Cricetulus griseus: one gene and its partner. The main gene of each other region encodes a partner of the protein of the gene in region 2 in a complex. Links are inferred from orthologs where the notes say so. Each region holds a gene or a part of one and is shown on either strand. Other genes may lie near its edges.

Region 1 (3,987 bases), on a different chromosome or scaffold from region 2:
CGTGGGTGCTGGGAATCGAACACCTGTTTTCTGAAAGACTGCCAGTGAGTGCTCTTATTCTCTGAGTTTTCTCTTCTCTTCAGTCCTGAGCACTTACTTTTCTGGCTTTTAATTTCTACCTCATATTTTTCAAGGAAAATAATCAACCACATATCATTTCTGAGAATAGTACAGAATGGCTATGACAACTTCTAAACACTGCCCTAGTTATACAGGTCTATCAGCCCATATCTGGGTGTGAACACAGCTAAGTGTTAGGGTCAGGAGGTGGGACTATAGTGCAGAGTAAAGGAAACCACCTTTCCAAACCACCGCTGGTTGTTGCAGACAAATTCCATACAAAACCTTCCCTTACATGATTACTAAAAAGGCCACACCACCCATTCTTTACTGCAGGACACAGGGCAAAGACGGCATGGCAGGCTGGTCTGACAACACCCACAAATGGAACATGACTGATCCTCAATAAAAATTTGATGACACTACATAAAAAACAGGATGAACTTCATTTCAAACACTCTCAAGGTTCCCCTGCTACCCAATGGCTATGAATGAAATTCAAGTAAAACTACTTAAAACTCTGAAAAAAAGAGGCTTGCAACCCTAATTTCTGGCTTCAGTGAATATGAGTTACAGAGATGTGTAAACTTCACAAATAAGATCTCTTCTCCAGATGTGTAAACTTGCCTGAACTGGCTTGAAGAGTATTCAAAATTGTCTAAGAAGCAAATCACAAATTTTAGCTTCAGAAACTAATAATCCATCACAATTAGGAAATGGTTCCATCACTGACACCGATGATCTGAAGAAAACAGTTGGAGTAGTTAGAAGCAGTTGCTTTGATCCCTCTTCTCAAATATTCCTAGCTCAGGGGCTGGCAATGTGACTCAGCAGATTAAGGTGCTTGCCACAAAAAGGAGAACTGAGTTCAATACCCAGGATCCCCAAGACAGAAGTGAACCAACCCTCCCAAGCTGTCCTCTGACCACCACAAGTGAATGCCCCACCCCTATACGTAAACGGAAAAGAAAGCAAAACAAAAGGCCCCAAACACAAAACCAGCCCAAAGGTAGCAATACAAAGTGTTCTTTGCTTTTTGAGACCGGTTTCACTCTGTAGCCCAGGACAGGAAGGTGGTGATCCTCCTGCCTCAGCCTCCTGAGTGCTGAGAGCCATGAGCCAACACCCTGGTCTAACATAGTCTGTAAAGCACTGAGCAGCATGCCTTGTGTGTAGTTCAATAAATAGTTTTAGTCTTAAAAATAAACAAAGCAAACCAACTGTTGATTTTTTAGCCCATCATCCCACTCCTGTCTGGAATCAGGGACCCTTAACTAACCGTACAGTCCATACAGTCCTCAGAAACACATGGTTAAACCAATCAACTTAAGCCCACCAGTATAACCCTAGGTGTATTCAATTAATCTCTGATTCGGGGCGACTCTGATCAGAGCCTTGTTAATAGGCCTTTGGGGCCCAAGGTTTTTATGAATAACTGGTTTCCTGTCCCCAATGCACACCTTTTCTACTGGAATGGCAAAGGTCCCATAAGTAAGACAGTTTAAACAGGTAAGGACCTAACTGGGTGCTGGGTCGAAAACGACTGATAGTGGGTGGATTCTGAGCAAACTCATGTACTGAGACCCACCCAACCAGGCCCGAACAGCTCATAACTGGAGGCGTGGGTCTGCCTTCCTTGGGCTCCCCTAGTTAGCTAGGTTAACAAGTTAACTAGGTTACCTTGTGAGAGTCTTCCAAACATCAATTCCCACCACCGCCCCTTTCACTTTCCACTTTACAAATATTCCCCGAGTAGTTACAGTGTAACAGGCTCTGACTTTCCCAATCTGGAGGATATTTTGGTTCTCAGTAACTTTCAAATATGGCAACAGTTTTTCCCTTAGGTATTTTTTTCTTTTCCCAAATGGCAAAACCTGGACTTTGTAGTGGACTACTCCCTGGGAGGAACAGAGCCCTGGTTCCAGCAAAGCCCACTTACAGCGGGTGAATCACTGAAATCTTAGCGTAGTGAGGCCCCTGGGCCCAGACATTGGGGACTGAGTCATTCCAAAGCTAGCGCTGCCGGAAACACGCCCTGAGCTGCAGGAGGAGGAGGAGTCCCACAGGCGGGGCCTGGACCTTTCTCCTTCCTAGTAGTTACCTGGAGCACCTGCCCGAGGGTCTCCAATAGGTACCGGCCCCCGTGCACCGACCGGGCACTGGTTCTCTAGGCAGTGGACCACTGATGGAGGCAAACTCCGGCCTAGCCCTGAGGCACAGGACACCCCGCGTTGTGTATGACAGTGTACACGCGAGGAGTGGCGGCTCTCATTTCTTCCCTGAGACTCCGAATCCTGGTTCAGACGGGGGTTCACCCAAGGACCCCCTCCATCGTTTCACCTCCGCCAGATTAGAGCTGGCGGTAAGGAGAAGGCTGGAGGCTGCAGGAACCCAGATCGGGGAACCCAGGTGCCGCCAGCGGTGCACCTCCGGTACCCGGCGTTCCAGGGTCTCCCCGTCCCCTCCCCCAGGCGTGCTCTACAAGCCCAGGGCGCGCACAGGCCCCGGGCCGCTCACCACGGGGATACAGAAGGCGACCAACACAGCACACGGCGGGGTGCGCGCGTCGTCCGGGCACGCGTACCTTGCTCTCGATCAGCTTCACCATTTTGGCTGTCGCGGGGAGGAACCACACGAGTTTCTGTAGGATCGGATGGAAGCGGATCCGAGATGCCTGACGGATCTTGCGGCGGATCGAGGCGCCCGCCTTCTCTTTATAGCGACAGGGCGGAGCACGGCGGGGCGGGGCGGGGCGGGCGGGCGCGTGCAGCGGGGACGCGCTCCCTGGCCTCCCGCGCCCGCCAAGCCGCCTCGGCAGGCCACACCTAAGCCACGCCTCCAAGAGGTGGAGCGGAAATCAGGTTTCCAGGGGGCGGAGCCACAGCCGGCTACTAGAGCAGCTCCGGTACTTCCCTAGTGATGGCCCCGCCCATGTCTCCTCCCTCTGCGCGGCGGAAAGCTGGCCTTGGTTTACAGGGGGAGAGGCTAGCGCAGGCGCCTGGAGCAGCTTCGGGCTCCCAGACACCGCCCTGCGCTTACACAGGGAAGTAAGTGTGCGTCCAGTTGCTCTAAGGGCATTTTCGTTGTGCACTACGTAGGGAGGATGCTCATAGTCCCCTCTCACAATCTGGAGTCCTTCTAGGATCACATTGGCCAGGCCCCAAATAGACCTAAGTCAGATACTTCCAGACTGGGCCTGGGGACTGCCCAGGCAGAAGTGTATCCTTCGACCAGGGCGGCCATGCTGCGGTTCCGCCTCAAAGTGCTGAGTAACGATGACTAGGAAGTGTCTCAGTGCACTCCTTCCCCTCCTTTCTGGAGATTTCCCTGTCCCTTCTCTCCCCCCTCCCCTTCCTATTCTTTAACTTTCGCGGGTGAACCTGCTACTGGAGAGGGACAGAGTCCTTTAGTGCCCTTTTTTTGTGCCCCATGCGCATGCGGGCATAATGGACATCGGATTGTCTAGTTCACAGCGTTGTCTCGAAGGATTTAAGGGCTTGAAAACTGACGAGGACAGCGCTGGGCACATAAGGAAGCACTCAATAAATGATTCTAATTATAGTCATCGTGAGCGCTAATTAAGCTTGCGTGGTGCCATGCCGGCCTTGCTGAATTTGGCTGCCTTGTATTTACAATGACAGTGTACATGCATTGCAGAAATTGTTCTGCCTTGGGAGACGCCAGGAAGAGTGTGTGCCAATGATAACTGGGGTGATGTGCAGGAGGAAGCTAAGACATTGTTAGGGTGGCTTTGTGCAGCCCGAAGCTGAGGTGGAGACTGGACAGAGCCAGCAAGCTGGGAGGATGTTTGCCAAGGCTGCCTTTTCAGAGCTGAGCAGATCTAGATAAATATGCATCCAGAGGTGAAGAGCTGGAGATGGTGAAACCGTGTCCCTGTCTCAGTGCCCCTACCACCACCACCACCTT
Region 2 (3,511 bases):
TTCCAGTACCTTCTTGTCTCTAAAAATTAAGCACTTTACATCCAGGCAGCACTGTCTAGGAGGCTGTGTAAAGGAGGTGAGCCGCTGAGCTTTCAGAGCAAGCGCCAAGAGTCTAAACAACCCAGGTACCTTTGATTTCAGGATAGTAGAGGAAGGGTTTCGGTTCACTAGTTTCCAAATCCGATTTCCTCCGAAGCTGAACAAATACGGAAGCTGGTTTTGTAATGTTGACATCCTTATACTTTGGAGTTTTGAAGACAATGGCAAACTGCAGGGGACAAAAAACCCAAACATTGGTGTAGTACATTTGCTGTCTAGTGGGGGTGAGCAGAAGGCGCATTCCCGATGCATACATTTGTACTCTAAGCTTAAAAAAAGTGTGCTAAGACCCAGCCCCTGGCAAAGTTCCAGTCAGTATGTTACGCACATACAGGGTTTCTCTCTGTAATAGTCCTGGATATCCTGGAACTCACTCAGATCCACCTGCCTGCCTCCTAAATGCTGGATTAAAGGCGGGCGCCATCGTGGCCCAGCGTACATTTTTATTATATTGCCCCCATGAAAGTAAAACACAACAGTATGCCGGTTAATTATCTTAATTAACACATCTTAGTTATTTCTCTTTCAAATTAGCCTTAAAGGCCTCCAAGATCATTCAGAGCAGTGTGTGAAGGGCTGGGTTTGGAAGCAAATGGAACCAGAAGTACCACTGTCAGCTTGTAGCCGGCCATGCCACAGAAAGCAGTGCTGTGCTGGAGGCAACATGTGTTAATTCTGGGTAGTTCTGGGACAGTTAGGTACCGGGCATCCTTAGTTTTGTTTTTTCTATCTTTATATTCACAAGGATCAAGATTTCCTAAAACACAGAAGGAATACAGTGGCACACACTGAGAATTCTTCTTGCCTCCCTACCTCCGATCCATGTACCTATTCAGTGCAGATTCCTGGGGGGCTCTGCGGTTACTTTCTCTGGCTTCCTGTGCATGTGAACCCTGAATTGTTTTGTATACACTATGTTCTCAATCAATCTTTACAAGTCTCAGCATTCTACTTTGAGGTCTCTGTTCATCCACAGACGCCCTTTTTCTAATGACTGCATGACATTTCACCACATAGAAGCACCCCATTATCTAGCCATTTACTGGTGAATGTTTGGGCTGTCGATAATTTCTTGAAAAACATCATTCCTCAGTCACCCTCAAAGAGTGACTATTAATGAGGGGCCGTTGGAGACCCTGGCTCGTCAGAGTGGCATCCGCCTCAGCCTTCAGACTCCTCAGTACATTTCCTTTTTTCCCAGGCTTTGCTGGAATGGTCAATACCTAAACATTTTCATGGGAGGAACTGGGGCCATTGCCTTCAGGACCTGAACAACAGACACCAAATGAGGCACCATGCCAGGCTCCCTGAGCCAATATTCTAGCAGCACCTTGCCCGCAGTTCTATGGTAAGGTACTCCTCTGGAAGAGCCATAAAAATAGCATTGCTGTACTGATGTTAGAGACTTATGGTGGTTTCCTTTTCAATCTGTGGAGACGGAGCACTGAATTTCATCAAGGCAGAACAAGTACTGAAATTAGACCGGTGACAACCCACCTACCTGTCTGTGAACATCCGTGGGGGAAAAGTCTCCAAATCCTTCCCAAAACCCACCATTCTCTTCCTCCTCATAAAACCGAATCTGGATGTCATCTGCAAATGGTCACATTCAGGCACGTGATTGCAACGGGTGTAATAATGTTGACGAGCATGCTAGCAAATACAGGCAGGATATAACTCTGTCTCACTTAAATGTAAATGCTTTGAAAAGAATTCGGAGCAGATTTGCACCATTTAAAGTTTCACAGATCAGACTCTTTACACATTATTTACTCCAGGAAAGGGAATCTACCATTTACTCATAGTGGTATGAGTATTATATTTACCCAGTCCATTAAGCTTTGTCTTTGTCAACATATGAACTTCCCACTGTTCCACACTTAAACTAGTTCACTTCTGGGAAACTTGAAGGATGGAAGAGTAACAGAACCCGTAGGTGTAACTCAACCCAGTATGGAGATGTCCATTGTAAAACTTGAAATAAATGAAGCTTCCCACACGGCAGATGCTGTCCTAAGTGCTTTATCTTAAATGTTAACTCATCTAGTCCTCAAACCAGTCCTGCGATGTAGGGATACTAATGCTGTCCTCATCTGCAGACGAGAATCGGGGTCTATGGGTGTGTGCACATGCGTGGGAATACCCATGTATAGCAGGAGCACATCCAGAGCTCAGAGGATTAATGGAAGGTGGCTCTCTCCTTCCACTGTGTGGATCCTGGGGATTGAACGAAGGTTGTCAGGCTTGACAGCAAGTGCCTTTACTAAATTCTGTGCCATCTTGTCAGCCCCAGATTGTGTCTTCAGTAGGTTATCTAAGGTTGAATAGCTAACAGATGAAGGACTCAGGATGTAAACATCATGGATGCCCAGTCCTAGCTCTTACATGCTCTACTGGACCACCTCCACACATTGCTTCCTCATGCCCTATCAAGCAACTGGTTTAAGTACCATGATGGCCATGTCTTCTTATGATGAAACCACGTTGGTTTGTTTGTTTGTTACTCTCTAGTCATGGACTCTAGTTCTGTAGAAATATGACATGTACTTCTCAGTGCATATGAAGGACCATACTACTGACTGGTGAAAGTTGATATTGCTTATATATATACATATATATATATACATATATATTATATATATATATATTGATCTCATATATATACATACATATATATGTATATATGTATATATATGAATTGAATAAACTATCTCATTATCTGGCCCAATTCTTTACTTTGGATAGACAGGTCTATCCTAGATTTAGTAGAACACCTGTCATTCTCATGGTCTGTCTCCCTTTATCCCACCTCTTACCCTTTTCATTTTACTTATGCATGTGACAGGAAACTGCAACCGTATTGTGATAGTAACATTCAGCTTATCATGCTTTTATTTTCGTTGTACAGTGTGGCGTAAACTCATGGGTCACTACAAATGCTGACCATTTTAACAGCACTTCTCACAAGGTTTTCTGTTCTTTGGCACCTCTGCATAACCACCAACATGGCTCACAGAGGGGGCTACGAGCTCCTGTGACTCAGCACCTCCTCTAGGCAGAGGGATCTCATGCACAGATACCTCAGAGCCAGGACCATGTTTGGTGACAAGTTATGTTTCGCCTTCTGGTGGCATCTTTTATTAGGAAGTCTTCCAGTTCTGGGAGGGAATGAGGAGGTCTGGCACACTCAAGTGTGGGGCCAGCTTCACATTCTGGAAATGGCCTTGGCCATTAAGGGCTGGGCCTGGGAATACCACACCATGTCTCTCCAAGGTGTGGCTTGCCATTCCTAGTTGTTTCTCCCAGGGCAGGGTCTGGCACCCAAGGGTGGGTTCTGAGCACATTTTCTTAACGAAGACTGTAGGGGGAACGCTGTGTGGCCAAGTCACTGTGGCAGTATGAAATAGATTGT

The links.
Region 1: the proteins of Nfkb1 (region 2) and Txn are in contact, whole or in part, in an NMR structure (PDB 1MDI), measured with the Homo sapiens proteins. The link is inferred for Cricetulus griseus from reciprocal best matches to the Homo sapiens genes NFKB1 and TXN. Residues at the interface, in NP_001158884.1 of Homo sapiens: Arg56, Phe57, Arg58, Tyr59, Val60, Cys61, Glu62, Gly63, Pro64; in NP_003320.2 of Homo sapiens: Thr30, Trp31, Cys32, Pro34, Met37, Ile38, Asp58, Val59, Asp60, Asp61, Gln63, Ala66, Ser67, Val71, Lys72, Pro75, Ser90, Gly91, Ala92.

What each region holds. Positions count from the first base shown.
Region 1 is NC_048595.1:85,908,571-85,912,557, reverse strand, and holds the start of Txn (thioredoxin), read right to left. Parts: upstream 2,802-3,987; 5' UTR 2,669-2,801; coding exon 2,645-2,668; intron 1-2,644. UniProt on the Homo sapiens protein: Participates in various redox reactions through the reversible oxidation of its active center dithiol to a disulfide and catalyzes dithiol-disulfide exchange reactions.
Region 2 is NW_023276806.1:23,875,205-23,878,715, reverse strand, and holds part of Nfkb1 (nuclear factor NF-kappa-B p105 subunit), read right to left. Parts: intron 1,693-3,511; coding exon 1,601-1,692; intron 269-1,600; coding exon 130-268; intron 1-129.